Linked DNA regions of Lepisosteus oculatus. The protein of the gene in region 4 binds, or shares a complex with, the protein of the main gene of each other region. Links are inferred from orthologs where the notes say so. Each region holds a gene or a part of one and is shown on either strand. Other genes may lie near its edges. The genes, in order: mediator of RNA polymerase II transcription subunit 13-like, ccnc, med13a and med16.

The links.
Region 1: med16 (region 4) and mediator of RNA polymerase II transcription subunit 13-like share a complex: the UniProt entries of both Homo sapiens proteins name them as parts of the mediator complex. The link is inferred for Lepisosteus oculatus from reciprocal best matches to the Homo sapiens genes MED16 and MED13L.
Region 2: med16 (region 4) and ccnc share a complex: the UniProt entries of both Homo sapiens proteins name them as parts of the mediator complex. The link is inferred for Lepisosteus oculatus from reciprocal best matches to the Homo sapiens genes MED16 and CCNC.
Region 3: med16 (region 4) and med13a share a complex: the UniProt entries of both Homo sapiens proteins name them as parts of the mediator complex. The link is inferred for Lepisosteus oculatus from reciprocal best matches to the Homo sapiens genes MED16 and MED13.

What each region holds. Positions count from the first base shown.
Region 1 is NC_090717.1:10,604,108-10,612,272, reverse strand, and holds the start of mediator of RNA polymerase II transcription subunit 13-like, read right to left. Parts: upstream 3,389-8,165; 5' UTR 3,192-3,388; coding exon 3,120-3,191; intron 1-3,119. UniProt on the Homo sapiens protein: Component of the Mediator complex, a coactivator involved in the regulated transcription of nearly all RNA polymerase II-dependent genes.
Region 2 is NC_090697.1:31,785,485-31,793,732, reverse strand, and holds the start of ccnc (cyclin-C), read right to left. Parts: upstream 3,046-8,248; 5' UTR 2,898-3,045; coding exon 2,866-2,897; intron 236-2,865; coding exon 129-235; intron 1-128. Other genes in the region: desmin, read left to right, coding at 7,717-7,931. UniProt on the Homo sapiens protein: Component of the Mediator complex, a coactivator involved in regulated gene transcription of nearly all RNA polymerase II-dependent genes.
Region 3 is NC_090721.1:4,737,326-4,745,119, forward strand, and holds the start of med13a (mediator of RNA polymerase II transcription subunit 13a), read right to left. Parts: upstream 3,410-7,794; 5' UTR 2,688-3,409; coding exon 2,622-2,687; intron 1,437-2,621; exon of another isoform or gene 1,052-1,436; intron 848-1,051; exon of another isoform or gene 289-847; intron 1-288. UniProt on the Homo sapiens protein: Component of the Mediator complex, a coactivator involved in the regulated transcription of nearly all RNA polymerase II-dependent genes.
Region 4 is NC_090724.1:3,457,702-3,465,522, forward strand, and holds the start of med16 (mediator of RNA polymerase II transcription subunit 16), read right to left. Parts: upstream 3,287-7,821; 5' UTR 3,263-3,286; intron 3,190-3,262; exon of another isoform or gene 2,737-3,189; intron 2,622-2,736; exon of another isoform or gene 2,586-2,621; intron 2,574-2,585; exon of another isoform or gene 2,391-2,573; intron 2,090-2,390; 5' UTR 2,017-2,089; coding exon 1,878-2,016; intron 1,559-1,877; coding exon 1,451-1,558; intron 1,069-1,450; coding exon 899-1,068; intron 462-898; coding exon 30-461; intron 1-29. Other genes in the region: tmem259 (membralin), read left to right, coding at 4,133-4,348. UniProt on the Homo sapiens protein: Component of the Mediator complex, a coactivator involved in the regulated transcription of nearly all RNA polymerase II-dependent genes.

The DNA.
Region 1 (8,165 bases), on a different chromosome or scaffold from region 4:
GAGGCTGCGCTGGCCAGGGCCTTCTCCGACTTCAGTGAAAGTCTGTGACTTGTTGGAACACGCAGGCTTGTAGTGTTGTCGGTGCGGGATGCGCTGCTCCTCCCAATTCATTTTTACTTTAATCCAACCACATATTCACACTAACTTTTAGTAGTAAATATTTCTCACTACTGAAGATACCTAGTCACAACAAGAGTTTAAGGAACACAGAGACATAAACTCGAAAGCCCCTCACACCTTATTTAGTGAATTAATTGATTTCATGCAGTAAGCATTCTTATGAGCCTTGAACCTAGGCTGAATGCTATTACAGAGCCTAGGCCACTTTGCCTTGGGTTTACTGTACACATTTTTGTCCTGCTTGTGACGATACCCGTTACTACTGGTTTGTAAATTCTGAGTGGTGAGATGATGTGTGACAATGCTAGAAACCCCAGCACTTGTTTGCTTAAATTATAACAAGGGAAAAGTGAACAAAATCTAATCAAGTTCTCACTCAATCATGCGATTTCAATGCTTAAGCACTGTTGAAAATTGTCACTACTTTTCTAATGGGATGTTAACAGCTCCTTGTCACTTCTGCCTACTAAGTCTATGGTGACGGCAGTATCAATGCCACCTGCCTGTGGCTTCCAAGCCCTGTTCTCTCATTTGGACTCAAACTAGCAGCGTCTCACCCTTTTCTTGCCATGTGAATCAGTGGAGAAAGGGCGGGTCTTATCTCGCCTTGCCATTGAGGTCAGCAAACTCAGCCACACATCCTAGTGAGCATGGCTTGGAAATCCAGAACAGGGAAACCCTCACAAAACTGGGCACTGCTGGAACTCAGTTAGACATGCTTTCCAGCCAGAATCCCCCCCAGGTGCTGTGTGGAGTACAGAATCAGTCTGCCAGTGAGTGCCCCTCAGCTCCAGGTGACCAAACCACATACGAACCCTCAGTGAAAGAAAGCCAGCCCGTTGGTTCGGTACGATATACTTCGGGTATTGTACTATAGCTGCTGTAGAAACTGTTCTTATTATCATACTATCATTGTCATGGCTGTTGTTAGTCATTATGGTAGATGCTAATTTGTTACTATTATCATTATAATCATTATCATGAGTAGCATTATTCTTGCTCATTAATGGTGTTTGCTGCCAACACTAAGTCTTTCAAAATTCCCCCCCAGAAGTTCTTATTGTAATGCACAAGTCTAATGCACCAGACATTTGAATGAAAACTTACACTCTGAGTAACAGTTTTTTATCTTTGAGTTTGTTCAACCATATTTATATTCTAGGATGTAGGATATTATGAATGTTAACGCGGAAGAGTCTATCCACAATTGTGCTCGCTGTATTAGATGCTGCATTAACTTCAGCATCTGAAACTCTCCGAAACAAAGAGTTTTCTTTTTTGAAGCATACTGATCTCTTTACGCAAAGCTGCATCACTATGCAGCCTTTGATCTTTTCGAGGTATTCAGTTTTAATTGGAGAATTTAACACTACAATCCGCTGTTCAGTACACTGATCCCTTCTAATCATTACTTTCGTGTGTGCTCCACTAGAAACCTGCGTATTGCACAATTGTACTACCTGAAGAGCAGATTTGATCCAGCTTGTCGAGTAATGACATCCTTGCTCCTCTTGACAACACAACAAGGCTAATATTGTCTTTCAGAAAAGCTGAAAGCCAAGACACAACATATTTCATACGCACATGAAGCATGCTTGGTGAAATTATAGCAATTTCCAAAACAAACCATCCCTCTTAGACTCGATTAATAACTAAATTCAGTCAGAAGGTTGCAGAAGTAGAAAATTATTACTCCCCTTGCATTCCTAGTGATTAATTTCACCCATTTTTATGTCGATCTTTACATGTGTTCCTTGGACTATGTGTTTCATCATCATTGTAAAAGCCTGTCGATCTACAGTGTTCGAAGCTAAACGGAAAATAAATAAAACTAAAATAAAAAAATGTCTGACAATATAACAACAGAAATTATTTTTAACTAAAGGCATGCACTCTTCCTTTCCTCAAGGTTACAAAGCTTAAGAAATCTGCTGCCATTGTCTCCTCAATTATTTTCACATTATTCCTAAGCCAGTGTCACAATAAAGGCTCTTCTCCATTACTGTGACTAAGTTCAGTCTGTGTCAAGTTCCCTGTTGGGTGTCTCCTAAAGTGACAGAGAACAATATTTACAATAAGGTAGTCGGCCACAGGCTACAAACCAAAACATTTAATGCACAGAAGTCAGTGCACTGATGTGCCAAAGGAAAGGTGCCTTAAATGTTTTAAATAGAAATGGTAAGAATTCATATTTGATCTTTATATATCAATCTTAAGTAAACATCACGAATGTTATCCTAGTATCCTAGAAGGACCAATACAATGATGCACAATTTCTAAACTCATCACTTTACTACAGTAAAACTGCAATTTAGTGTCAAGGTCATCACCAACTGACATAGAATACCACTAGCTTTTGGTATTCCTCCTGAGGTGAAAACTGTCAAATGTTCACTCAAGACCAACAGTCGAAAGAGCTTTTGAAGTCGGAGCTTTTGCTAACACAATAATATTAACTTTTTCAAGTTACTTTACAGACCCTAACACTACATCATTTCTATTTTCCTATACTTGTGGGGATGGATGTTTTCCCTGAACAATGTGTATTTATATCGAAGCGAATGCAGCGAAATAGAAAAGTGTACATGTGCACAAATGTTGACTGGATACGTTAAGTGATATATCCACCCATTTGTGCGAGATCTTTTTAAAGGATCAATCAGATGAAAATCAATTTGGGAACAGCAAGGAGTTCTTAAAACACTTTCATGGTGCAGCACTCCCTTGCCTTGACGGAATGAATTAAATGACAGCGTGTAAAATGCTTTGTGAGTGTGGCCTATTGAGACCAATCTGGAGCGCCGATATCCTCGGTTCACTGCCCTGTGTTAGCTAATGATTCTCTAATCACAGCACCAGCGACGGGTTCACCTTTGTACCAAAAGTACAGATCTGTCCCAAAGTGTGCCCCCATCCGGATGGCGACAGGAGCAGGCTCCCTGGGTGTACTGTAATGTGCACAGCGTTTTCGTTAAACGGTTAACGTAGTGTTACTGTACCAGAGAGAAGAGGTTGGAGTGACAGTCTTCAAGGCTCGCCCCGTTAGCCACCCAGTTCGCTGCTGCAGTCATAATCGTCCACGGACCGGGTCGTCAGTGCTGGGCATGTCGGAATCCTGGGTCGGTACCGAGACCGAGCCTCTTCGGTTCCCTTTCCACCAGACGAACAGAACTATCCACGCCGTCTCCAACACACGCTGGGTTCACAACCAGAGCAGAGGCGAGATTTGAAATTATTACCCCCCCACCCCACCCCCCCCAACGAAAATATATCGATTAAATAATATCCACCCCCCCACCACCACCACCACCACCACCACCCCCCCACGCTGTCGTAGTGAATCCGAACCGGGTTGAGGTGAAACCCCAGTTAAATGCTGTCTTTCCCCCCACTGTTTCCAGGCGTCACTCCAAGCGGATCGTATTTTGTAAATCCAAAAACGTGCTGGCCGATCGGTGCCGATCCGAAGGATTCCAGGTCAGCGGGTCCGAACCGATTCCGAACGCAACCCCACACACACAAAAAAAAAAAAAAGACAAATCCTCGTTTCGTTAATCCAAGCAGGAGGAGGGGGGAGAAGCGTCTCACTGTACATCCAAACAAGCCTTCGTTGTTGTTACCGTATTGATTAAATAACAGTGTAATCCATACACGCTCAACCTCCTTGTCTTTATTAGGGGCTGGGAAGGGGGGTGGTGGTGGCAAAAAAACTGCCGGAGAAAATAGAGGAAAAAAAAACTGATCAATAACAAAAGCGAAACACTGTTTCCATAACTTCACACACAAACCACTCCGTCCTTTGAACAGCGTTTATTATTTTGTTTCAACCACAAACAGCAGAAGGAAGGGCACTGACAAAAACGCTCGGAGTCACATACAAAAGGTGCGCGATGATATCCCGGATTGGTGAGAGGTGATGGGAGCGAAATAAATAAACATCCAGCTGGAAGCGACCGAAATATCTCTCTCTCTCTGTATATATATATATTTCTTTCTGGCGGAAAAAAGAAAAAGAAAAAGGCTTCGGTCAGGTCCTGAAGATCCTTGTTGAACGGGAAAATCTGACGAGCGCAGGAAACGGAACAGTAACGAGAGATTTTAAAAACACACACGCAGGAATAGAGATCGCATGGCTCGCAACATAATGCCCCCGTTGTGATAGTTTTTGCGAATTGTAATAGTTATTTATAGTATTTCTTACCACCAACATGCCCTGCGAGTGTAGTACACACTACGGGCAAAAGAGGGGCTGTTTTCTTCTGTTTCCACTTTGCTATAACAGGCTACAGCTGCATACTAACACACACAGACCTAGCGAAGGTTGTCTCTTCCGTTTTGTTTATAGGAGAGGAAAAACAGCGACGGGTCTCGGTGCCGAACGGTTTAATTTTCGGTTTCGACTTATGTCTGTATACATGTTTCACGCCACATCCAAGAAAAAGTATACTTCCCGTCCATCATCGGTGTTGGGGGGGGTGAAATGCAGAAAACGAGACGAAACGAGAGTTAAAAAAATCCTCTCCCCCCCCCCCCTTTTTTTTCTCCTTTTTCTGTTTAATAATGACGAAACGTCCTCCCCCAGCAGCTGAAACGGGGATTTGTTTTCAGGGAAAAAAAAGAGAAACGCGTATTCTTTACACGAATAATGATGATGATGGTGATCGGCGCCTCGGAGGGAACGATGACACTCCAGCAACGATGCCGATACTGTAATTTCGCTTTTGGCGCTGTATTCAACACCCCCGGCTAGCACCGATCGCACTAAGGGAAGAAAAACCACTGGAAACGGCGGTGTCGCGGTGCCTTAATCCTCGAAAACCAACCTCGACAAAAAGAACGGGAGATTTAAAAAAAAATAATTTCAAATCATGAAGGGTGGGTAAAAGGTTTCGGGGTAAAAAAAAAAACCCGGAGAGTTGCTAATTTAATGTCGCTATGTCTCCCTTCCCAGGCACTGTTTGTGTCTCGGTGTCTTTACTGTTACATTGCCGAGCGGAGTTGAGTGTCGGACTGCCTGCCTTCCTGCGCTCGCAGCCTCTCTCACACTCCGCCGGCCCACCGCGCATAGCGATGTAATGGCGGCGGCCGGCAACGGACTCGCCTTCCCATTCAACACGGGAGGGAGGGGGGGGTTCACGTGACCGCGGCCGAGGCTCGCTCTCGCGCGCGCGCACACACACACTCACTCTCGGCTCCGTCGCGCGCCGCTAGAGGCGCTGTCCCGCACGTTTTCCGTGTTTTTTTATTTAAAATTTGATTTCATTCTGGTGCGGCTGTCCAGCGCTTCAAACTAAAGCGACCGCCTCCCACACCCCACCTTTTTTTTTTTAAATAATATTTTCAATAAGGAGCTACAAGTTTGAACCAAACTTAGATCTTTATGCATCATTATGTAGAATCCTAATGATGTTGAAAAGGCTTTAAAAGAGAGCAGCAAGTCAATGCACCTATTTTATGTCGAACTTCATTTTGCACCCCAACAGACTTAGAGTGAAGGGTTTCCTAGAACGGACTAGCAGTCTGTGATTTTAATTGATTATAGTACACACCTTTACACGATAACTACACTATCGTCCCACTAAGAATAGCCCTATACATCTCTCCATGTGAATTTATACACGCAGTGGACTCATACTGCAGTTGTGGCTGTCCTGTCTTTTTCTTAAAACTTCCCTTTAAAGCTGAACACCAACACTAAACACTTTGTGAGAAAACACTGCTTAAAGTTTTCAATGTATCAAGACGTCATTTTAAGACCGTTTTAATTACGATCCATTTTCATTTTGAAACATAAGATGACTTATACAGAATCATTAATAAATACAAAAAAAAACCTGTAAAGCACTGCACTGATTTATATGTATACAATTGATCAAATACCCCGCTTAACTGCAGAGATACAGTATCTGTTTTTAAGACGCATTTAGAAAAATAAGAGCCCTGCATGCTTACTAAGAACTCGTCTTTGTTTTAACGCTTGCAGGCTCTTCCCACTCACAGGAACACGACTGAACCCGAAGGCGGGGGATTAACTGCCGATCCGGCAGCCTGCTCTGGCCCTGCAACGTGTAATTAAGCCGCTTCAGGGGTTTACCACGGTGTCTGCAGGTACCGCGCCGGATAGATTCCCATATTTGTGTTCCTTGCCCCCGTTTTATTTGAGGTCTAGGGAAAAAAAAATGAAAGATTTGTTCTAGGACCCAGAAGTGCGAGTTCTCTTTCTGTCCGGAGCTCTGTGACCCAGCGCTAGGAATAGCGGATCCGAGGGGGAGCTGACCAGGTTAGTCTGGGTGGCTGCGGTGGGACATGCTGACACACGTCTCGCCTACTTAAGACCTACAGTATCTGTTTCTGAAGGCAGCTATTGTGGCGTATTGCACTGCCTGCTGCCATTAGACCAGGAACGTACAGTGATATGAGTCACTGGCACGGGTGTAAAAATAGTCATGACACCCTACTGCTTTGTGATCCTTGTCTAGTTACTTGAATATCTAAAACTGAAGACTGAGGGTGGCTCTCCCATGACTAATCAAAACAACAACAACATTCCCCTGTCACACAAAATGAAAATAAAGGCTTCCTTCTCTTCACTACTAGTTTCTGACCATTTTCCACTGGGCACATATACAGTACAGTACACAACTATGAAAGAGTTAGACAATGAGAATGATGAAACCTGTGTATATAAAAAAAGTGAGGTTATGCAAAGCCTTGCTTCTAAATCTGTTCTCAGAGAAAAGTTGTCGCAAAAAAGTAAGGATAATTTGGGTTTCAGGCATTTATTTGATTGTTAATAATAAGCCTCTTTAAAATAACTAGAACTGCTCCTTCATTTTTAATGAAAGTCTTTGAATTACACTTGGCATCCTAAGTGAAGCTTACCTGCTTGTTTGTTGTGGAAATAATTCATGAAGAAAATGTCATTTGTTCCTAGAGTCTCTGAAAACCTAGGGATGAGATTAATCCTGAATATGTAAATATTGATTTCAAAGCATGCTACATTCACTACAAGGAACTAAAGGTGAAAGAATTAGACCAAGCTTAATCGTAAGCAGAATTGCCTGATTTTTCTACAGGTGCAAGAAAAAGGAGTGTATTTGAAACCTGTATTTGAAGAAGCCACCCACGTATTATCTAACTACTTTATCCAATACAGGGTCGTAGAGGAGCCTGACCCTATCCCAGCAAGTACACCCTGTACAGGACACCCATCCACTGTAGGACAGACAGACACAAACACCAGGGCCAGTTTTCCCAGAAGCCAATTAACCTACAAATATGCCTTTAGACTGTGGGAGGAAACCGCAGCACCCAGAGAAAACCCAGACTACATGCAGACAGCACCCCCAGGAACTGAACCCAGGGCCCCTCCACTGTAAGTCAGCAACACTAACCTCTGCACCATGCAACTGCAAACACACACAGAGGAAGAGAAGGGGGGCTGCAAAGGCACCAATGGTGTGTTCATGATAAAACATTGCACACATGACTACATTCAGAAGTATGACCTAGGTTACTCAGGCACACAGAGACTCTCTTTTATTTGGGACAGCACTTCATTTTTACGCTAACAGGTGTTGTAGCAGGCGTGAATAAGATGGAGCCATCTACTGTCAGTAGGAAGCCCACTGGCTGTTGTGCAGTTGTACAGCAGAGCGATTAGCGTTACTGCCTTCGACTCTGACCTTGGCTCTCACAAGCAAAGCTCAGCCTGCTCAGTACTGAGATGGGAGAGCTCCAATGAAACCAGTTTGCTGCAGTTGATGAACCTGTAGTCTTCCTGGACCTAAACGTCCTTAGGGAGACACTGTGCTGTAGCCTGCCTTTTGTTCAAGACATTAAACCAAAGCCTTCACTTTGTGAATAAAAATCCCATAGAAGTATTTGTAAGTGTAGGTGTGCTAACCCAGATGTCCTTTGGGCTTGCACAATCTTGCTTTTCTATCAGCAATCCCACTGGCGAAGCAATTGCCCTCCTGTCTATCCCAGTCTGCTGTGCAGTGAGGCACCAGGTATGTAATAGCAGCTCCATGTGCAAGATGAGC
Region 2 (8,248 bases), on a different chromosome or scaffold from region 4:
ACTAAGTTTGAAGCTGTATACAATGTGTGTGGATAAGGCTGAAGCACAAATAGAAAAAGATTAAAGCAGAAAGAAAAACAGCAATATCATGTCCCTTTCACATCTATCAACTTATTGACAGAATGTACCATTCGCAAAAAAGATCTGCAGTTTCCAATACTCTTCTTCTGTCAGAAACTTCAAGTCCTTCTGGCGTTCCTTCATCAAATCCTGTTTGTCAAGGATCCACTGCAAACTAATGACAAAAAAGTGGCAATCAAAAAGGGCAACATAAGTATATTAACAGTCTCGCTCATAAAAAAGACAAGACGCAGCTGATATAGCCAGCTTTTTTTCCTTTAAAGGGTTTGATATTTTTCAAATTCTTCCTCAACTGCTTGATTATGTACCAATTTGGAAATAAACCACCAATGACAATCCATTTACAGGATTAGAACATGTATCAGAACGTCTACAGCAGAAACAAACACAGGAGAATTTGACACCACGGGCCTGTGCTTCATGCAGGGCCCGAAAATGATTGAGAACCTATGACTTCAACTATCTGAGGATCTGGACATTTGAATAAACCTTTACACAGTCAAGTACTGTTAGTGGGTTAACTGGTCATAACACTGGAATTTTTCAACTAAAGTATTCAACTCATTTCATAATAGGTATTTACAAATTCTTCATTAAAAATGTGGTACTGGATAAGCTTTCAATGTAATACTTACAGGAAAATTAACTAGATTATCTATTTAGGGACTGGATTGTTCCATTTGTTCCTCATGGAACACTTTAACAAGGTCGTCTGAGACATACTATTGGCATCATCACCAAAACCCTTATCCCTGCTTTTTAAACAATTCTATAAACCATGCCCTCTATGCTAAACTAAAAAGCACTGTGTGATATACAGAGAAAGAAACACTTTGCAATTTAACAATGGGATAGGTAAGAGCATAAATACTTTTGTGCTTTACATAAACCCTCAGCAAACTGTTTTGCATTTATGCCATGTTAAATCCAACCACATATCTTCTGGCAAGCAAGGGGCACAAAGAGATACAACCTGGATGGTACACCTGTCCATTGCAGGACACACACACACTCACGCTAGGGCCAACTACCCTGCCAGGATGTCTTTGGACTGTGGGAGAAAACCTATGTGAACACAGGGAGAACATACAGACAGCAGCCATATCACCCTGCAACTCACAACCGGCAGCCCACTGAAGCTAATGTGACGGCTCCTGGGGTTTCCGCCCTTGCCACACCTGTCCTGCCCGTTCTTCCCTCACTGCCTGGGCGCGAACCCGGGTCTCCAGAGCCACACAACAGGGAACCTGCCGGCTGAGCTAAAGGAGAACTCCCTCAGCCCGGGAGGCTGAGATCCCTGTTACACGCAGGGTTACACTAAGCAGGTGTGAGCCTGGTCAGTACCTGGATGGGAGACCCCTGGGAAAGACTAAGGTTGCTGCTGGAAGAGGTGTTAGTGGGTCCTAATGCCCCAGTATAGTGACGGGGACACTATACTGTAAACAGGCGCCATCCTTCAGATAAGACGTAAAAACCGAGGTACTGACTCTCTGTGGTCATTAAAAATCCCAGGGCGTTTCTCGAAAAGAGTAGGGGTGTAACCCCCATCTCCTGTCCAAATTTCCCATTGGCTCTTACCAGTCATGGCCTCCTAATAATCCCCCTCTATGAACTGGCTTCATTACTCTTCTCTCCTCCCCACTGATAGCTGATGTGTGGTGAGCATTCTGGCGCACTATGGCTGCCGTCGCATCATCCAGGTGGGGCTGCACATTGGTGGTGGTGGAGGGGAGACCCCATTACCTGTAAAGCACTTTGAGTGGAGTGCCCAGATATGGAGTGTCCGCTATGTAAGGGTTAGCAATTAATTATTACACAAACTCCACGCAGATAGGAGCCCAGAAACTCGACCCAGGGCTCTTCAGTGCTGCAAGGCAGCATTGCTAACCACTGTGCCACCATGCTGCACGCCATTTTAAATCAAAAGATCAAAACCACTCATAGAAAAAGGAACCCTGATGCTGCAGTAGGCTCTATCCAAGGCGAGGGACGGGAGGTAGTAAATGTAGCAAGCAGTGTGCAAAGGAGAAAAATAAATGCTGAAACAACACACATATACTGTACAATTAGCTGGTTGCCAGATACACCTTGTGGAAGGACAAATAAAAAATACACGCTTGGATTGCGTGCTCTGCAACACTAAAACCCAGAGAAACCGACTAGGTATGTAAAAGGTAGCTATCTGAGGCGACACAAATCGTTTTAGGCCTCTGCATTATTCGTGAAATGTAATCTCTTAATGACGTCACATCTGTTGTGTCTTGTGCTGTCGGGTTTCTATCAATGATTTTTTTCACTTAGGAATGAAGACAATACATAGAACAGTTGCAGAACACATATAAGAACATGCCAGAAAACCACACGCATGTTTAAGAAAATAGGATATTACAGATACTACTGGTGACCAAGGGATAAGAGAAAAATCATTAAAACTACTTTGAATTTAGAAAAATATAGTACAACACTGAAGCCATAAAATTAATATTTTTATATCGAATTAGTGCCTGATGAAGGTTAATAATTACTAAGTTATTTCGAAATTCATTAGTACAGACACTTTATTCGGACAAGATAGGATAAATAGTTAGACTGGAAACGCGAGTGTAAAATCTCGATATTAAACAAGTGTTAAGTGCATGAAATCGCCCTGAATTTAACACGTTTTGTCTAAAACCAGTTTCAGATAAAAAAATATTAATGAAACTGAAGGTCTTTTAGGCCCCAAGGAAAGAAAGATTTAACAGACCGCCGTAGTTTAATATTGTTTAATCAAAAATGACTTACTAATGTGAGCTCTGCCAGAAGTTTCCTGCCATCACTTAAAAAACGAGGTAGAAATTTGGACTATTTTCCTTTTCTCTTTTCAGGAAACCTGGATATAACCTAAAAAAATAACGAAGTAATTATTCCGGCGTTTGGTTTCCTAACGTGCAACGACACAATCACTCCGACTTCGTGTGCACTATGTAAAACCTTCCTACTCTAAAACCCATTGTGCTGTGCTTAATAGGTCCGGTGTGATAAGCTCCTTTGCATTCCTCGACTATTAGACGCATGAAAACGTATGTATTGCATGTATAATTATCCAAATGATATGTTTTCCAAATCTGGACAAGATTTTAAATATATTTTATCTAGATATAACTTTTATCCAAAACGGCTTACTTTAAATCTATTTTTACAAGCTATGCATTTTAATGAAACAATTTCAGTAAAGTACCATGCTCAAGAGCACACCTAAAGTGCCCACAAAATTCCGGTTTAATTTTAATTCTGTTTGCATCAATTTATTTTCTCTTTTTCTCACTGTCACTCACTACTTGAATATTAGGGACAATACATCTCTGTGAGCTTGCAAACCTGCAGTCCTGTTTCCACCTTCGATAATACAATACATTATAGGAGAATATTATTATTAATTTAAACATATATTGATAGCATTCTGTTTTATAAAGCTATATCTTATCACCTACATACCTTGTGTGGGGTGTTGTGAGGTGAATTATTCAATGATAATTACATATGATGGATTACATATCACTCTTCCATCTGATTTCAGTAACTAATTCATCCTTCATTCAGACAATGAATGGTTAATGGTGAGCTGGAGTCCAAACCACCAAAAACAGAGTACAATATGGGGCTACACCACGGACAAAGTGTCAGTCCATCGTTGTGTATAGTTATGTACAATCTCACCTCATGCCCGTTAATCTGGAAATGTCCCTGGACTGTTAGAGGAGATCAGAACACCTGGTGAAACCCATGAGAATTTAGGGAGAAACCCTCCTCATAAAAAGGTGCCCTGGTTCAGAATCAAATATAGCAGCCAGCAGTCCTTCATGATTCCATTCATTCATTCATTTATTCCTATGAGGGTGTTTCAACAAATAAGGCAAGAGTTCCCGAGGTATGTATGCATAAACAGCAGAAAATGTTGTAAACATAATATCCAAACCTGTCTGTGCATGTGTCCCATTATAACACATATAGTAGATAGAAAATCCTTGAATCTGCTGGAGAAAAGAGTTAAACCTACCACTTTAGGTTTAATTCATCTGCTGAACAGATACTTCTTTAAGAGACCAAAGAAGTGGAAATCTGTGAGTTCCAGATCACAGCCTTGAGATCTGCTGTTCTTGCACATTCCTCTCACAATGCCACAAGTGTGGTTCACAGGGTGTGACCCTTTATATATGTCAGATCTGACATATATGTCAAGTGTCTTGAGATACTTTGAGTAAAAGGCACCATATAAAACTTAAATTGATTGATTGATTTGTTGGTTGGTTGGTTGATTGATTGATTGAATCAATGAATGAATCAATGAATGAATCAATGAATGAATGTTGGCTGACTGGTTGGTTGAGATGAACCCAGTCCTGATTGGATTTGTCAACACCTGTCAGTTGCTTCAGCACTCATCAGGTGCACACTTCTTCAGTACTCCTAGTGGGTACAACCTTCACCTGTACTGTATGTCTTGTCTACATATTAAATATGTGTAAGTGATCGTTAACATCAGCATGATTAATGTTGCTGCACGCTGGGATAATTGCTACACAGCCAGACATATTTAAAAAAAACTTGCCCTTTAAATTAGAAAAGTCTAATTTCAAATTATAATTTAAAGAGAGAAATATTTATCTGTTTACTGTTCATCTAGCACTGTTCTGGGTTTAGCATACAGAAGATATAAACATTCAAAATTACTTTATGGTGTACTGATATATGGAAAAATATATTTTTCTTTTTTAACAAATCATATTTCTCTTAATAGCATCTCTGTTGAGATCATGTTCATTAGCATGTGACACAATATGTCACATGTGACGCGTAAGCATTAAGAAATAAGCAATCTTATCACTGTAAAAAACAAAATAGGGATCTGTTGTAAGGTCTGGCCCCTCAATACAATCATATTCTCACAAAATCTTTGAGCGTCGATTACCAGAGAAAAAACATTGTGTGATGTTGCAGGTTGGTGTTTAAACTCATTTCGGATTCATTCACATTATGGGGAGACAATGCCCTTTGCACCTTCCACATGGGTATAAGAGCTGACATAAGAGGAAAGAATCTCTTGAGTGCTTAAAACAATCACAGGGACTGCTCGTCCTCTCCTGACACTGTGCTGCTAGTAGGAGTTGTGGTAGATCTCCCTGGGAGCAATAAGCAGTTAATATTCAACGTCTATTTCCAGCAACAATAGGGCCACACTTAAAATGGTTTAAATATTACTTCAAAACTCGAACTTAAAAATGAACAGATACGTTTTTTTATTCTTTTAAAATGAATAGTCTGTTAATTGGGAACTGAAAGGAAGTGAAGCTGACCACACTATAGGACCACGTTACCATGCCCAGTGCATAAATGTACTTGTCTTTTTCAAGGTTTCCTGGAGTTTCACTAGGTCTTATTGTGTCTTTATAAGCCTCTCCACCCTTTCACACCTAGATTGTAGGGTGTTGTATTACACTTGATTGTGCTTTTAACGTAATATAACAAACCAAATGTTTATAAGAGTTATATCAACCAAATGGTAGGTTGATTTTGAAAATGTTTGAGGATTTGGAGGAATGTCTTACACAGCACAGAAAATTAATCTTTTATTGTAGAAGCAACAAGCAGTGTGAATGCTCAAGGTTGCCAAGTTTCAAATAAATAATTATTTGACTATGTGAAAAACATACATACAGCATAGAGAAAGATATTGTCTTGGCAAGTCAGCCAGACCTATTACAGGAAAGGCAAAAGAGCTTTCCCTCTAACTCAAAACAGGAGGAGTCGCAGTAACTTTACAAGCAGCAGATTAAATTCTAAAATGCTTTCACTCCTTCGGGTATTTCATTAGAGGGCAGATGGATTACTTCATGCAGTTCGTAAATATATACACCTGAAGTAAAAACAAAAGAAGAGGGACACATAACATAAAGAATCTACTGAATGAAAAAAAACCAATCTCATCATTTTGCTGCTCAGGTTGAGCTAAAAATAGAAAAAAAATGTTAGTCAGATTTAAGATGGTAAATTTTAAATCAAGGGAATTTTTGTAAAATCTGTACATATCTTGTTTGGAATACCACGTACAACTTTGGTGGACACCTCACAAAAATTACTTTGCAGCTTGGGACTGGGAATAGTGTCTAGATTACTGATCTTGAAGGAATGTCACACAATGACAGCTTAGAGGAACTAAATATCTTTAGTGCTAAATAAAACAGGTCACAAGAGGTCCTGGCAATCTTTACCTTGAGGATTTGACCAACTCATTCTAATGGGACTCAAGTAAAAATTAAAAAGAAGAAGATGTCTGACAACAAGACACACTTTTCAAAAGTCATGCGAATGTGTAACAAGCTACCCAGCTGACCTTGTTTTTGAGAAGCCAAAGCTGAAATTCAGATCAACAGTCTACCAGCATCTCTATAAATTAACTGGACCTCCTTTTGTATGCTTTCTTACATTCATCCAGATATACTTTCCATAGCTGCTTGCTCTCTTCAGAGGGTCTTTTTAGGTTTTCCATAAGGTTCAGTCTTTTGATGTGCAGATGTGTATAGATGTATATACTGTATGTATGCTTTGATATGCCCTACAGCATACTGCTATTACTGTATGTATTTAATTATATACAATATGTTGCTATTTAGTTTTTTTATCCGTGAAAATGTTTATTTTTTACTTTGCTTCGATAATGTTTTGAATGATTTGCTGATTATACATGATGAAGAAAAGAGCTAATACTTTTATAGACATTTGCAGACATCTTCTGTATGTCTTGAGATAATTAAATGTGCACTGTGAATGATAGTAAGAACACATGTGTGTCTTTCACTTATCAGTGTTCAAGCTTTACTATGATATGATTTCGACGCAAGAAATAGTCAAATACATAACGGATAAGCAGATTCTTGGTGCTATCATTCTAATTATACAGAGATTTCCAATGTTACTGTGCCAAATATTACACATATGGAAAGTGATGACAGCTGTTTAATCCACTCTGCAGAATGATAATTAAATAAAAAACAATTGTAGGATAGTCCTTCGTAGATGCCCAACCCACTGATGGAGAAGAAGGTCTGGGCAGATTGCAATTGTCTCCGCTCACGTCTTTTAATCATTCCATGCAGAAATCCCAGACATCCCAGGCTCTGATTTATTTTTTTGCTACAACAGTTAATTTTGCTTTTACTGCGCCAGTTTTCTTTTCCCTTTTCTGTCATAAATGCTAGCCCACTAATGACCATATATGTCAAATCTTCAGGGAAAGAATGCCTCACATTTCACTGTACGCTAATGTAATGAATTCATCTGTTTGCTTCTGGCCCTGCTTTGCATGCAATTAAACTTCAGTCACATCCAAAAGCATTAGATCAGCGCTGCCTAATTGGCTAAACCTTCTATTTTTAAGATATTAAACTCTTCACATGATTTTGACAAATATTCATAGGGAAGGTCAGCCTTCTTGTTGTACTTAGGCTGGAAATTCCAGAGGTGATTCCTCACGAGTGCATCAGGCCCAGGCACAAGTATAAAAAGGAGGGCCTTCGTCTGGCTGTGCAGTACAGGGTGGAAGGTGTCAGTGTCCTGAAGCAGCACAAGAGGGGAAAAAGAAGGCGAGCTGACAACATGAGCCACAGCCCAGAGAGGATGTCTTCATACCGGCGCCATTTTGAGGACAGCAGCTCCTCTTCCTACCAGGTGCGAGTGTCCAGCCCCTCTCCCCCTCGCGCCAGGGGGGCGCGGCACCGCTCTGCCAGCTACTCCCGTTCCTCCACGACCCTCAGGGCGGAGGCAACAGGCCGGAGGACGGCCTCATCCAGCCGGAGACCCCACATAGCCAGGTAGGACGGCTCAATCAAGTCAAGAGCGACGAGAAGAAGCCCAGAGGATCCGGCAAGTTCGCTGTCTCGAAAACCCATTGGCTTGACGTCTTCAAGACATGGCAGAGAGCTGACACACAGATGTCGCTCTGCAGTGTTTTTAAAATCCCAGCTCGCCCTATGGAAGTGTAGGAACTGGGGTTTTCTGGTCTCTTGAAGAAGGGGAGGGAGGGGGAATCCAGGTATTTTCATGTCAAAAGATGTTCTTACAAGAGAAAATGAACAATGAACATTTCTAACAAAGCTTGTAGGTCATCAGAGTTTAGCAAAGTATGTGA
Region 3 (7,794 bases), on a different chromosome or scaffold from region 4:
CTGTGCCGGGGGAATACAAAGTTTAGGCAAATAGGAGAAGAAAAAACACTGAAGTGGTCATTATTCATGACCACCAAGGTCCCTCCTGCGCACATCAATTTGTCTTCACAACACACCGCCGCCTCATCGACATGATGTATATATGCGCTTCACCTGCCTCAATGCTGCAATATTTTGTTGTCATGGAAACCGAAGGGCCCTATGATGCCAACCCAACCCGTCTGGCCTGACGTGTCACCACTGTCAGAAAAAAAAAGTTTGACCCACTTCGCGTGTGTGTCCCCCCCCCCACCCACGCTTCATCACCTTTGAGCAATTATGCGCCGTAAGGAGAAAAGGACTTGAAAATTCACAAGAAGAAGAAAAAAAAAATCGTACGGCTTCTCCGGTGAAAGCGCTGGTCCAAACCGCTACCGCTACCGCCAGCGCCGGGGTGACTCACGGCTCCTGACAGCTGTAAACAGCGCTGTCACGGCCGGCCTCCCGCTCCCATTAAAATGTCTTCCCCGGCTCCTGCAATTTTCCGAGCCGTCCCGCTTGCGTGTGCGACGACGGACGCCCTTCAGAGTAGATGGGCTCAATGGGACAGGCCATTACCCACCGGCGGGCCAATTGCCGACGACTCGACCGCGGCTCTTCCTCCAGCCTCATCGCGACGGCAGACGCCACACACATCTCGCCCAGTGATTCATATCGAGTAAACCTGCCCCGGCGTCTATTTTATTGTGACATTTTTTTTTTTCCTCCCTTCAGCTGCGGTTCAATATCTTGGCACGTCACCTCCTCCTCCCCCGAACTGAAACTTTTTTTTTCCCTCCTCCCCCTGTGCTGAATCAGGACACCACCGGTATGTGTGTGTGTGTGTGGGGGGGGGGGAGGATAATCAATATCCAACACCCCTTCCACGCATTTACAACACATACACCCCCACTGGCACCCCCAAACCACTCCATCACTCATACTTCAGACGCACATTTGGTACCGGCTCAATCCCTTACCACTCTCCTGATTGAAAATGCCTCCTAATTAGATCTGATTTTTTTTTTTTTAGGAAAAAAAAAAAGCTCCTTCGCTTTTGGCTCCCGCTGTCACGCGTGATCTTCGCACACGAGAACTGCACGGGCCACAATCACACGCAGGGCATGTGAGGAGGAAAAAGCCACCCCTCGGCGGGGGGCCACCACGAAGCAACGTCCAAGGGGACAGCCGAGAATCTCAACCATGCAGTTTAATGAGCTATCAAGCGGGATCGAGGAAAAACAACAGTTCCCAGAGGCACTTCAACAAAAAAAAAAACTTTCCTGCCTTGCACTTTCTGACACTTAGATCGCCCCCATCTCGTCGGCTTTGGGCATCTTGGAATACGGAAAACGCCACACACAAAAAAAACAAAACAAAACCCTCTTACATAATAAACTAGAAACCGAAACTCAAAAGCCTCCAAACGTCTCTAAAAGCCCGTATCCGTACCCGAGGCGTGACCCCCAAGCCCCCAGAATGAAGCGGTGTAAATGTCTTATCTGGGACAGGACCATGCATTGCCACAGCAGCAAGACGAGTTGCGTAACTCGTCCCACACTGCTCGACTCGGACCACAAACCCAGGTATGCGCACGGAAGAGAGCAAAAAAAAAAAAAGTTAAAAGACCTGTACGCAGCTACTTCCATAATTGTTTTTTAAAACAACTTCAACCCCCCGTTGTTGTTGTCGTTGTCGTGCCCTAACGAGCCCAAGTTCACAGCCTCCAGGCCAATATAGGGCATCAGGGGCCGAGGGCACCCTCAACCCGGAGATGCCAGTTATACACCCCCGGGAAGGCTGTAAACAACGAAAAATGACAAGTCTGCTCGGCAACGAACAAGCCTCCCTGCCAATAGAAATGAAACCAAAACTAACGGCTAAAAATCAGAAATAATCTCCCGACGCAGCACCCCGCAAAACAACCCCACCGGGCCGGCGAGCTTCCCCTCCAGTTGATGGGGGGGGTGGATAAGCCCCCCGACGAGACCCAGCGCATTTAATTTCCACAAAACGGCCCGGCCGCGACCAAAACACTTCGCCCAGAAGAGTTTGGACCTTCGTAACTCCTAAATACAGGACCGGCGCACCAGAAAGGTCTCGGATCAAACGCACGGAAACACATTTCTTTTTGGGAGGGGAAAAGAAAATAAAAACCAAGCCAGGGGAGGAAAATAACTGGAGTGTGTATGAGTGTGTGTGTTGGAGGGGAGGGGGGGATTTAAACGCCACAGAGACAGAAGAGATAGGGGAGAGGAAACTTTGCACGACCTGAGTAAACCTGCCTGTTTACTAGACAGCCGTGATCAAATGTTTTGGCCGGCAGCGCTCAAACCTCATCTGCACCGGCGGCCAGCCGAGACCACATCCACGGCCCGGAGGGAGAGCCGACACCGCGCCACGCCGCGCAGCCCCCCGCAAAATGCCGTTTTAATCCGGCCTTAAACTTCGGCAGTATGCAAATGCAACAGAGGGATTGATCAGCGGTGTTTGGATTGCAGTGCTCGACAGGGCCCCCAAGCCTGCGCTCCCCGCTACTGTGCTCTTTTTTTCTCTCCCCTCAGCTAGTTAAAAATGGCTGCTTTTAGTTTTAAATCTCTTACCAGACAGAATAGGTTGGAATGGCAGTCTTCCAGGCTCGCTCCGTTTGGTACAAAGCAAGAACTCATCCTTTCACATCGAGATCGACCACTCCATCGTTTCAAGTTCCCAAGAAAGAAAGAACAATTTTTCTTCTTTTTTTTTTTGTTGGGGTTTTTTTTTTTGTACGCGCGTGGATTTTTTTTTTATTTAAAAAAAAAAACCCCCCGTTAAAAAACACCTCACGCCGAGGATGGTTTTAAACAATCGGCCGGGGGAATGTAATTCAACAGCTCATTTAGATTCTCTCCTCCGTCAGCACTCTCTCTCTCTCTCCCCCTTCCCAAAAATAATCCGCCGTAAATTAAAAACAGCACCGCCACCTCCGCATCGTCCGCCTGATATAAAAAAAAAAAGAGACGCTCCTTGAGTGAGGCTCGGTCGTTTTCTTTTTTTTAAAAAAAAAAAACGGGGAAAAAAAAAGCACGAAAACGCTCTTAAAACAAAAAAAAAAACCCAACTCTCCCCCTCCCCCTTTGGTTAAAACGGTCTGGGTTAAAAAAAAAATCGCCCCTCTATTCCTCCATCGTCGCCGGATTCGGTTTAAAAATGAAAAACATCTTGTAAAAGACGATCGAAGGCTGGTGGAGGACTATATTTTTTCGGTCGTTTTAACCATTATTTCGGTCTCTGTTCCTGCTGGTTTCCATTTGAATTCACGGATTCCTTTCTTTAATGGCGGCCACAGGGACAACTCTGCCTCCCGGCGCCGATTGGCTGGCTCGTGGTCATGCGGGCTGGAAGAGGACTGGAAGTGACGGGCCCGGCCGCTAGGCGCTGCTGAGCCACCGGTCTGGACCCCCTCAGCTCGCCGTCCCGGGCGCTGCGCCCCCTAGCGCGCCGACGGCGCACTGCCGCAGTTATTTATATACCTGGGTACCCCGTGTGCGTGCGTGTGTGTGTGTGTTATTGTTGTTTTTGGTAGTAAAATAAAAATCGGTTCATTCGCAGCTGCTAGGAGGGGGGGGGGCTCTGACAGGCGTCAGGGGTGAGACGCCAATAATGATAATAATAATAAGAAGAAGAAGAATGCTGAAAAGAGAAAAAAGAAACACAACGTTTCGGCTGTGCAGTCTTCTTCGGGAGCCTTCTTTTCTTCTCTTTTCAGCATGGAGTAAACGTTTACTCGTTCCTTTGCAACCTATGCATGCTGACACAACCATCTACTTGAACTAATAATAATCATAATCATAATAATAATTATTATTATTTTGATTGTTGTTGTTGTTGTTGTTATAATGCATTTGGTTGCTTTTGTTTATTTCAGTTGTGGTGATGAAATACTAGGCTCTTCCTAACATCAAATGGACTGCAATAAACTACTTTTTTTACACCCCCCCTTCCCGGGGAAAAACCGAAGCATGGCTCTACCTCAGGTTACTGTGTTTCATTATGTGTCTGGTACCAGAACCTGTATACAAGAAATCTGGTTTCCAGTTCGCCCTGGGGTCCCAGAGACCTGTCGGGGCCAAACATTATTGACTAACCAAACGCACACAACTCTCTCCAGGATTCAGAGTGTTTCTGAGATGTTGCTTCTTGCCTCGAGAGCAGTGTTTAAATCATCTGCTGTAAATGACTGTAAAAAAAAAACCTGTGAACATGCCCACGGGAGAAAATAAATGCAAAGAACTTGAAACAGAATGAAATCCAGTAGACCCTGGCTTCGAAGACTGCTGCTTGACACCCCAATTCATTATTTATTGGTGCTGTTGTTGACGGTGTAGCTGTAGTGCTGCCATTCTTATTCCGAACAATAACCTTACAAGACGCCGCCGAGATAAGCTGATTGTCTCCTGTCTGTGCTGCTGGAAGTCCAGGTCAGCGAGGTCTGCAGGTAATTCAGCTTCGGCTGATCAATAGAGAAGCAGGGAATTTCGCAAAGAAGCTGGTGTTCACCCTGTTTAACCACAAGCCAGGCCTGAGAACCGGTTTGGTGTCTGTATCCTGGCTGTGAAACAATACTCTGAGCAGCCCCACCAGGCTCGCGAGCTGATGGTGCTGTTCTTAACGCTCGTAGTCTGGCTGCCATCTTTTTTTTTTTGTTCCACGTGTATTTCCCATTATCTGTGATTAAGTAAGTTATCATGCAATGCCATGCTTGATAGGTTACCGGGGTTATAGAATGTAATTCATTAACGAGAAGTGCAGCAGGCAGCCAGACCATTTCTGCGGGTCAAGTTGAAAAACACAAGAAACGTCAAAATAAATGTTCGGCTTGGCTAGTTTTCACAGCACCACCCGAACGAAGAAGAATGTACGTGACCTTGTATCGGCTCACAAAGGAAATACTGCAAAATATTGTACAAAAAGATGCAGTATTTGTTTTATTCTTAAATGAGCGGAGAGCAACACTGTCTTGGAATCGGCAGTCGTTTTGTGTATTAGTTTTCTTTATGACAGCTCGCACCTAGCTTGACACTATGTACAAGGCCGAGCTACTAGGTACATCTGTGTTTGTGTATGTTCCATGTTGCTTTGTCATTGTAGTGTATTATTGTTTGAATTAATCTATAAAACCTTAGTAAAATATAGTAAAATCACACCTATACTCATTGTATGCAAGGTAATACGCTTATGACCCTATGTTCCAGAAAGCAGTGATTTCTGCTGAGGCTACATTACTAGGTTTTTCAAGCGGTTTAGTGCTCAGCAGAGTGGAAGAGTTGAGTATTGACTACTGTTGTGATTTCAGTGTTGAATTGTTTTTGCGTATAATAGTCCTGTTGCGAATCACTTTGTAGAGTTAATACTGAGGCCATCACATACATCAGGTCATTGACGACACAGAGCACAGAACGAGGCTCTTCTTCAGCCTGTTCATTGTTATTCCTTGCAACAGGTCAAGGTCATCAACATTACTGTATATAGACAGCTCCACACCATATAGGAACAGGTCAAGGTTAATTCCATAATTCTGAACAGTAGAAAAGATGAAATACACAACATTTCAAGTGTGGAGCTTTCACACACCTCTAAAGGGCTTCACAGTTAGAACAGTGTGTTTTTCGCTCTTTTTATTTCTCCTTAATTTAACTTCCATTGGAGCCACACACCAGCACCTCTCCCTGATCTAACTTTGTCTATATGCAGCACATATTTGTTCCCAATGAAAAGTGTTGTATATACAGCGTGTTTTCTGAAATTTCCATTTGAGTTATCACATTCATATATCAACTTCACCGGATTGCTCAGATATTTAGTTTTTATGTTCTTATTAGAGATCACATCAGGAAGTTACATGGACGTCCGTTTAAATATGAGCACAGGAGGCTCTTCTCTTTACACTAAGGGGTGTGGGAGTACGGAACAAGCTACTCAATTAAGTTGCTGAAGCAGGAATACTGGCTTCTTTTAAGAAATACCTGGATGAGATCCCCGGTAAAATTAGCTATAACTACCACATAGCATTGATGGGCCAAATAGCCTCCTCTCGTTTGTAACTTTTGTAATGTAGAGGACAGCTGGTTATGCACATGCAGGAAATAGCATGTCATCCCATGTTTAACATCATCAATAATCTTGATTAGAAACTGATTCTTCTAAGTGAATTTTAAAAGTTAGCAGGATAAATGTGTTTTTGTCTATGAACTGGCTGCATCACTCTGCTCTCCTCCCCACTGATAGCTGGTGTGTGGGGAGCTTTCTGGCGCACTATGGCTGCTGTTGCATCATCCAGGTGGGGGCTGCACACTGGTGGTGGTGGAGGGGATCCCCATTACCTGTAAAGCACTTTGAGTGGAGTGTCCAGAAAAGCGCTATAAAAGTGTAAAGAATTTTGTAGAACCCTTTTAGGCGTTCTCTAAATGTGTTCCCCTCATAAAATAGATCTGTATTGTGCAACACCACAGAGAAGATGTAAAAATGAGATGAGAGATTTTTTTTTTACGACTAGATAAACTGCATTAAAAAGGACATGGCTTTGCTATTGTCCTCCTCTTGCAAAATCTACAACTTGTTAATTTCAATAACAAAGATCATGGCTGATGTCAGTTTGTGATATTTCTGAGGTGTGCTTCCCAACATCTGCAGTTACGAATTCTGATGAATCAACACTCAAACTGTCACAATACTCGAAAGATCTCTCATTGCAGTTTTCACCTCGATCACCACATTTCACTTCTCTGATATTACAGGACTATAGAAAATGTCTAAAAAAAATCATAAACCAGCTTCGATGTTTCAAACAAATGTTCTGAGTGGTTTGCAAAATAAAAGTGACAGAGATGTTTAACTTCAGAGCTCAGGCTTCTTTCAGGAAAAAGACAACACGGAACTATTTGGATTGTAACGTATGTACAGTATGTATACATTTCGAATCCTGTACGTACATAAGCAGCGTGGATCGTGCAAGCAGCAGGATGGTTCTGTTATCACTACATGTGCTCATAGATTAGAAACACCTACAAAGGAGAAAGCAAGAGAGCAAAAGAAGGACAGATGGTGAGAGGAACAGAGGTAGAGAACATAAAAAAGCATTGCGCATTTTAAAGTGCCAGACAAGGCTTCTCAAAAACAAATGGAAGAGGTATGCAGTAGGCACCATGAACTAACAGCTGAGGGTCCCTTTAGGAACATTTCCTATTCTATTCAAGCCCGCACCTTATCTTATTCTTGTAATTTAATACTTGATCTAAACAAGTCAGTCAGCTGAGATTAAATTTTCATGTACAATGATGACCTGGAGAACCACTTATACTGCAGGGCATGTACTGGTGCAATCGGACTAAAGTACATTGCTCAAGAGTACAGCAGCTATGTTTCCTCCAGGATTTGAACCCGCGCACCTGTAGCCTAGCACGCAGGGCCTTATCCACTACTCCATGCTGCTGTCTGACAGATGATGCCACTTGGCAACCAACCCTCAAACGCAGTGGAGACACAATAAATCCAATTTCTGAAAATCCTGATGACTGAGTGTGTTCAATGTACTGGTGGCTTTGCATTTGACAGGCAGCTGGATTTGTAGTGTTTTCCGCTTACACAACTCGTGAGTACTGCTTACACAACTCGTGAGGGGTTTATCAGATATTTACTGTTGTAATCATGCCAGGTGTGAAACAAAGATTTTCTCAACCATGGTGCTTCCACATGGGTCAACCAGTACACACCTGCAGGGGCTGCAGGTGTAGTCTT
Region 4 (7,821 bases):
GTAAAGAAAGCTCCGGCGGCCGCGCTCACCTGCTCAGAGTTCTCCCTGGTCAGGAACTTCAGGTGGGTGACGGCAGGGTACTTGTCCTTGCGCGCGGGGTCGGTGGTGCAGCGCATGAAGAGGGAGGGCAGCAGCTCGGTGTCGATGCGGCACTTCTCGTTCACCACGCTCACGCACACCTTGTAGAACTGGACCGGCGCCGAGCTGCTGCCGTCCGTGGCCGCCACCACGATGTTGCCCCCGCCCGTGAAGGCGATGTCGGCCAGCGCCACGCGGCCCCGCAGCCGGCACAGGCTCTCGCTGGCGGTCAGCAGCGCGCCGTTGGGCTTGAGCAGCGACACCGTCACCAGGCCGCTCACCGTCACCGCCATCCAGCCCTCCATGGGCTTCCCGCCGAACAGCGTCAGCGAGGGGGAGAACTTCACCCGGGAGAACTTCTCCCCGAAGTTCGTGGAGCCCGACTGTGGGAAGCGAGGTGGTTTAGTCATCCGGTCCACGAAAATAAAACTTTGGAATCTGCATTGATATCCACAGCGAAGCAGCCCCTGGCATCGGCCTCCCTTCCTCAGCGAGATGCTACACTGTCTCCTACGCCAAAGAGGTTCTCAGCGCGGCAACCACGGCAAGGCCCAGGATTGGACTCCAGCATCATCTGAGAATTGTTTTACATGATCATCTGATGACCAGATCGTATCGCCTAACCTGCTTCAGACTTCATTTAAAACATGTGTGTGCCCGTTCCTGGCTGGCATCTTTGTATTTCCTGAGGATTTCCACCTGCGTCCGTGTAGTCTCACCACAAAGGAAACAATGATTTAGAATACAATGGTTTAGATTTTGATTTTTCAGTAATTCAAGTACAATACACAGGAATGGGAGAATTAAGCTGCCATCTTACCTTCTCCACGTGCAGTGCCAGCTTGACTCCGTTGTGCAGCCAAGACAGGGCTACAATGGGGTCGCCCTCCACGGCGCTACCCAGCGTGCTCTCCCAGCTGTTCACCAGGTGTTCTGTCATCGCCCAGCACTTGATCTGCCCGTCCCCATCAGCCGACAACAACCGGGAGCCTGCACAGCCGCAGCCACATAGACACAGCTCGCTCATTACACTCGGCTACCATCACAAAACAATCCCATAATAAGAGACACCTCAAAGATCATCTGATCCACTCATCTGCAATTAAGGCAAACTTTGTACGTTTTGGTTAAAAGATTAAAGTGTGTTATCATATCAACTGTAATGTAGACTTTTGTTTTTTGCAGACAAGACGTAATCATGACATTTGACATCAGTAACAAACCTTCTGTCTGACAACACATCTTAGCAACTCCTAAGCCACATGTGAGAGTTTTCCAGGGACATTTTAAATCTTGACGTAATGAGCAAATCATTTTCAATTTAGCCCACCTGCATCAGCTACTTTTTTAGGGCTGCAACCTACAGACTTACCTGACTGATCCCATTCCAGACAGGAAATGACCTCAGTGTGTCCCGAATTGATCGAATAAACGTCCCATGGATGCTCGGAGTCAATGATGTGAATCATGTGGGTCAGGTCTGAAAAACAGATCTCTTTAACTTACTCTGCACAGGGGCAGAAACGGCTTTCTCAGCTGTCTCACAAACCCACGGCTTAAACAAAGACCGTAGGAGATGCTGTCATGAAGTAAGAGTTTTGCCGAGGCCTTTGAACACAGTGTGAAAAACATGCAAAACACAGATCTACTTAACAAAACAGTTCAACACAAGCAGAGGACAAGATCCAGGTCTCACAGTCGATTAAGAAGTGATGAGAAAGCAAGACCTGCAATTCTGTACAGTTTAGGTTGGCTTCAGGGCGAATCGGTTATATTTCTGACAGGGCTAGCCTGCTTACCCTTTTCTTCTTCCTCATTTTTGAGGTCAGTAGTGAAGGCGAGGAGGTTTCTGCAGGACCAGGCGCACACAAGAGGGATAGAGGGGCAGTGATTGCTTTTAGGCCTCTTCTCCCACTCACACACGTAGGCAATATCCATCCTTCGCTCATGGGGTTGTCCTTCACTGCGGTGTCAAGGTTTTCTTCTTGAAACAATTTTACACACTTCCAGCCTAAAGTAGAAACATGCCAATAACAGAGATGATTAAACAGACATCACTGAAAGCGCTTAGAGTTTTGATCATTAGAGCTTATCATTACGAATATTAATCAACGTTTACTGTTGCAAAATCTAGCTCAGTATAACCCGTCAATGTGTGAATTTGAGTATTCCATCTTACATTTATGCATAATCTTAAAAAACAACCCTAATTCACGTCACGTAAATGCTCAAAACATATGCATTCACCAAACTTTATGAAAATATAACAAGTTGTATACACTAACTAAATCAAGAACTACAGTATTAGCTACCGGTTAATCATGCCCACACGCCGTCGGTTCTAGATGTCTCTCAAAAGGAAGATAAAAGAACCAATAACCACAAATCTCTCTTGTTTTATAAAGTAAAAAAATACAAAACTAACAAGACACAACATTGCTCCCACACAACATAAGGTTTAATTTATCCTTAAAAACACATCTTTACAATTTGAGAAGCAGCTTTACCAAAAATACGGAAGGACCCCACTCTCATTAAGTGAGGAGTCCATCAATATGCCTGTTATTATTACAAACAGGCAAGCTTTAAAATCTACGTGGACGTCGTATTCCTTTCTTGTTGTAATAATCAAGAACGGCTATCTTTTAGCATAAATACCTTAAACGCAACGAAAGCTCCGTTTTCACTTTGTTTTGTTTCTCAAGGTGGGGAATTTGAGGCACATACCAAGGCGACTACGATGGGCAAAGCCCTTCTCGCGTCAACTGTTATTGTCGTGGTTTTAAAGGGCCCGATCTTTCATAAAGCGCTTGCGGGTATTGTTGGAAAACTGAACAAGATTTGCAAAATACGAATAATTAGGAAACGTAAACAATTTTCTGAACTAAATAAAGTCGTCCTTCAGCGGGGTTTTCAGGTCCATTGGAACAAACGTGACGTTTTAACCATAAAAAAACAAGTGTTCAACACAACGATCAGCTACAGGATATCCCCTTTTTTTTATTACGACGCTCAACACGAGTTCAGCTTTTCGTGTATTATTATTATTATTAACGGCAGCAACACATAGCGCTCAGTTAGGATTTTGTGTTTAATCCGGCGATCGTGAAAACGGCCGCTTAAACAGCACAGTAAATCGCTCAAATCCTAAACGAACAGACTGATTTAAATGTAGCCATCCCACCTCTAGCGGCCACTGTCCCCCTTTCTGCTCCACGTACAGCGCGTTTCCTCTTAGGGCTATATGTGTATGTGTGGTTTTTTTTCCGTGGTAGCCAGAGAGAAACCAGAGTATAGAAAATGGCAGCAACAGCAACAGGGCAAGGAAAACAACAAGCAGAAACAGAAAAACCCTGAGCCAGCGACGGAACCGCGGCGCCTCCGACGTCGGCAACAGAGAGGGAAGCCGGGAGCCTAGTCCGAGAGCCGGGGCACTAGTGAGCCTGCGACACCGCTGTCGTTGCCTTCGTCAGTACAGCAGCACGGAAACATCAGTACTTTCGAAATATAGCAGTTTAAAGCAAAACGCATAAGGACACTGTCATATGGGCTGTTTTCAGTTGTTTTTCAGTAGAGGCTGGATACCCCAAAGATGCGGGGGAGTTCCGCGGCTGTGTGGGGTTGCGATGATTGAGTAAAGAATGTGGACATATGGTTACTCCTTAGGCCACTGGGACAGGCTTTTATAGTAGGCTGGGAGTGAAAGACATTTTTCTTCGCATTTTTGTTTTTGTATCTTGGGAAACGTCCCCTATTACGGCACCCCTACTCGGTCGGCGTGATTTTTTTTTTTCGTTTCGTTCATCGGCGGTCCGAGAAATGGTGTCGGAAGGGGGCGAGTGGACTATATCCCGCTGAAAGCCAGGGCTTGTTTATTTGAGCAGCCTGGCGGCGGCGTCGTCGTCGTCGTCGGCCTCGTCCGTGCGAGTGGTACAGGGGGGGAAAAAGAAAACGCACGCAGCCCGAGCGAGGGGGGCGGTTTTCAAATCTTCCGGGATCTTTCGCCTCCAGCTTCAGTTTCAACTTGGAATTTGTCGCCGACCGCTCCGCGACCATGTCTGACAACCAGGGCAACGTCAACAACAACAACAACCCCATAAATAACAATGGCGGGGCCAACCGAATACGGAACCCCAATATCAATCAGAACCCGCTTATCAATGTCCGCGACCGTCTGTTTCACGCCCTCTTCTTTAAAATGGCAGTCACCTACGCCAGGCTTTTCCCCCCGTCTTTCCGAAGGATCTTCGAGTTCTTTGTCCTCTTGAAGGTAAGGCTCAGGCACCCGGGTTTGCATGCCGGAACTCCCAGTTCCATTGCTCAAGTACAAACGCAGCTGTAGCCCCGCCACCCCCTGACGCCGTTTCGCCTGTCGAAACCTGTAGTTGAGGCCTCGGCCGCTTTTTACAAGGGAGTCCCCCGTGGTCTGGGAGATGGTGAAAAATCGAGGCCCGTTTTTACGTTTGCCACAAACTCCTTTTGAGTCTTGCTCTGGGCTCATGCCGTTTGCAGAGGTTGGAATGAGAATGGCCTGTGCACGTTTCTCTTAGCCTCCTAGCAGATTTGATTATTTTCTAAAAAAAGGCTGAAACCGCGACCATCTTAATCTAACGTGGCATGGTTTCAGTGGTGATGGTTTTTTTTAATGTACAATAGTTCCTTTCCAGGACTTTTGGACATGCCTGCAGTTGCAATGATACACACTAATTGGTAAACACAAGTGGTCACACATTCTTAACATGCCTCGGCACCAGCATAATAGCTTGATTGTAAGTGTATGAGATGCCTGCTTTGAAAGTCTGACGTAGGGCGGCAGTAGGATCAAATCCACCAAGCTTGACAGGCCCTCATCTGGCTCTGCAGTTTTCACAAACCAAACTTCTCGCAAAGGCTAAAAGATACGGGGCTTGTCGCAGTATCATCAAGCAGAAAGCACCTGCCTGGGTTGCAGTAGGCTCAAACTGGGTCATCCCACGTCTTAGCCAGCTGTGTAACTGAGTGCCTCAGTGGAACAAACCCCTAAATATGCCAGGCAGGTTCTCAGGAATTGGACACCCCTGTCTGAAAGCCATTAGAATTCCCCCCAGGCTTGGTTGAATAGAAGAAGAAATGTAACAGGAATGAGCACTGAAATAAGCTGGTGCATTTGTGATTCACCTCCCTGTTGACATTGCAATCTCTGACAAGAATATAAAAGGAGAATCAACTTTTTTTTTCTTGGAGGGTGGGTATATCTAAGCAAACTTCCTTTTGCCTAGGAAATGGGGTATTATGTAAAATGCCACTGCAAGTAAATGATAAGTCAAGGGCTCAAAGCAAACCAAGAAAGTTTTACAATTATATATGTTCCCAAGTGATCTGCAGCAGTTTAAGTAGAACATTTCTGATTTTCAAAGCCTTTAGGCTGCTCCTTTCATCCTGTATTATGACATAACCTAAGGCTTAATATAAAACCTACACCAAATAAATATGAAGCACTTTTCTATAGCAAGGACTGGGGACAATATTAAATTGCCGTGAAATGTAATAGAACTGCTCTCGGGTTTTTATGTGGTGGGGAAAAGCAGAGACTACAAGGAGAATTGCTGATATTTAAAAAAAAAAACTTTTTTCAGAGATGACCTTAGGTTTATAAATTTAGAAAGGAGTGAAGCAAATTGACAGTTGCACACTAAGCTATATTTTGATCAATATCTTCCTGTTTTTATATTTAGTACAATTATTCCATTATGAAAGGTCTCGGTTCTTTTTTCTAAAGCAGCATACACCAAGAGTTCCACATGACTGACAGAAGAGACCAGTGTATGGAAATGGATTTTAAAAAAACCTGCACACCCTGTCTGCTGCTCTAAGATGGCAGTTTAACATACAGGCTCCTTCATTCATTAATTCATTGTTTAAGAAAAACTCTTAATCTGTAGTTATCAGTGATATCTTATGAAAGTTTATTAAACACAGATTCATGCGGCCAGGTAGTATGCGTACAGGTGAGGCTAGGGAGAAAGGGTCATTCATTGCTATATGTTTAAAAACCTCACAGGATGTTCGGTATATCTGGACTCTCATCTCCAGTTTTAACTCGGCTGTTTCACTTTGATTACTAGTGTTCAGCAAACGTCTGATAGATGCCTCCAATACGTGCACATTAATAAATAATATTAATCTAATCTGATTTAGTGTGGTAGATTTTCAAGCAGGGGTCTGATGAAATTCTCTGGTGGTTTACAGGGACTGTGCTGGGGGTTTCTGGAAGGGAATGAAGGGATACCTTTCACTGTCTGTCAGTTTGTGTGCAAACTGAACACTCTTCCATGGTGAACCTGCTCTGAAGATGACTATAGTGGCTGTATTGTCCTGCTCTTGTACCTCCACTATTTTCATACTGGCAGGAGAGTCATTTGAAATAGTTGTACACCTCCGTTAGATCTTAAAGTGATCTACTCTGTGGTTCATGGCCCTGTTCACACCAGCTTCAAAATTAGTGGGATCAATGCTGAGCTGTCAGTGTGCAGTACAAAATCAAGCATTCACGGATGCATGAACCACTAACCCACATGCAGTTACTTTATGTTGGGGAATTAAATATGAAGGTCGGTGCATGGTAGAATTGTATAGATTGATTGAATAAGCTTTTAGCACAAATGCTTTGAGCACAATCCAATGTGTGCATAAGGTAATAAATTGTTATAGTGTTGAGCTGTGAATGAACGCACTGTGTAGGAATCTGATTTCTGTTTTGTTTTGATTTAAAGACTAACCAAATTCCTGAACTCAATCAGAATAATTGATGAAGCTTCAGTTATTACCTTTTCTGCTTTGTGGTAGAAAACCAAATAACTTGTCAAAGAGCAGCCCCAAACAATGCATGTAATTTTTACCCAGTAAAAAAAAAATTTTAGAAGTGTTTTGAGCAAACTTTGTACAGTATGTGAAGAACTTTAGGCATTCTTATTTTTTAATTGCGCTAAATATGGATTATACTTACAGTCTTTGGGTGAAGTCCCAGACAGGCAATATAAATTAGATCCCTTACCTGTTTTTAGTGGAACACCTGGAGCAGATGTTTTAACATTATTAGGTATAGTAAGGTAAAAACGGTGCAAAATAAAAGTACTGAGACTGTTTAATTACACAGGCCTGTTCTATAATTTTAAAACCTACAGTAAATATGATGTCCTGTGATCCAGTATTGCTATCATCAGTAGCTTCAGAAGTTAAAGCAGGGGATTAAATGGACTGCACATCACTCCTGCTGTTGAGCAGTGCAGCGAAAAGCTTTGAAGCGGTTTGTCTTACAATTAAACATACAGTTGCATTGTCAGTGATTCTGTTGGTATTATAGGATGATATAGTTGCGTTTGTGCCCAAGCTATATTGTTACAAAAGCCTCCAGCTAACTTTTACAGAGCAGATGAACAGTCTTTCGGTTTTGTGCATGGAGCAAAAGTGTTGACAGAGCTCAGCAGTCTGCTATGATATTCCAGCACCACAGCACAGAAAGGGATTGTTGTCTGATCAGGCTGTCAGGTGCCATCTAGTGTGTTACATGAAAGGTTTGTGGCTTGTTTATTTTCCCTCTTTTTCCTTTGAAGAAGTAGGGAGGCATTAGTCAGATAATAGGTTTTACGATTTCCATTGCTGGAAAATTACAGAGACGTTGAGTCTTGTGTTTATAATATGGTGAAAAGAAGGATTTAGACTAGTGTTCTTGCCACGATGTAACTTATTCAACACTGAAAGACT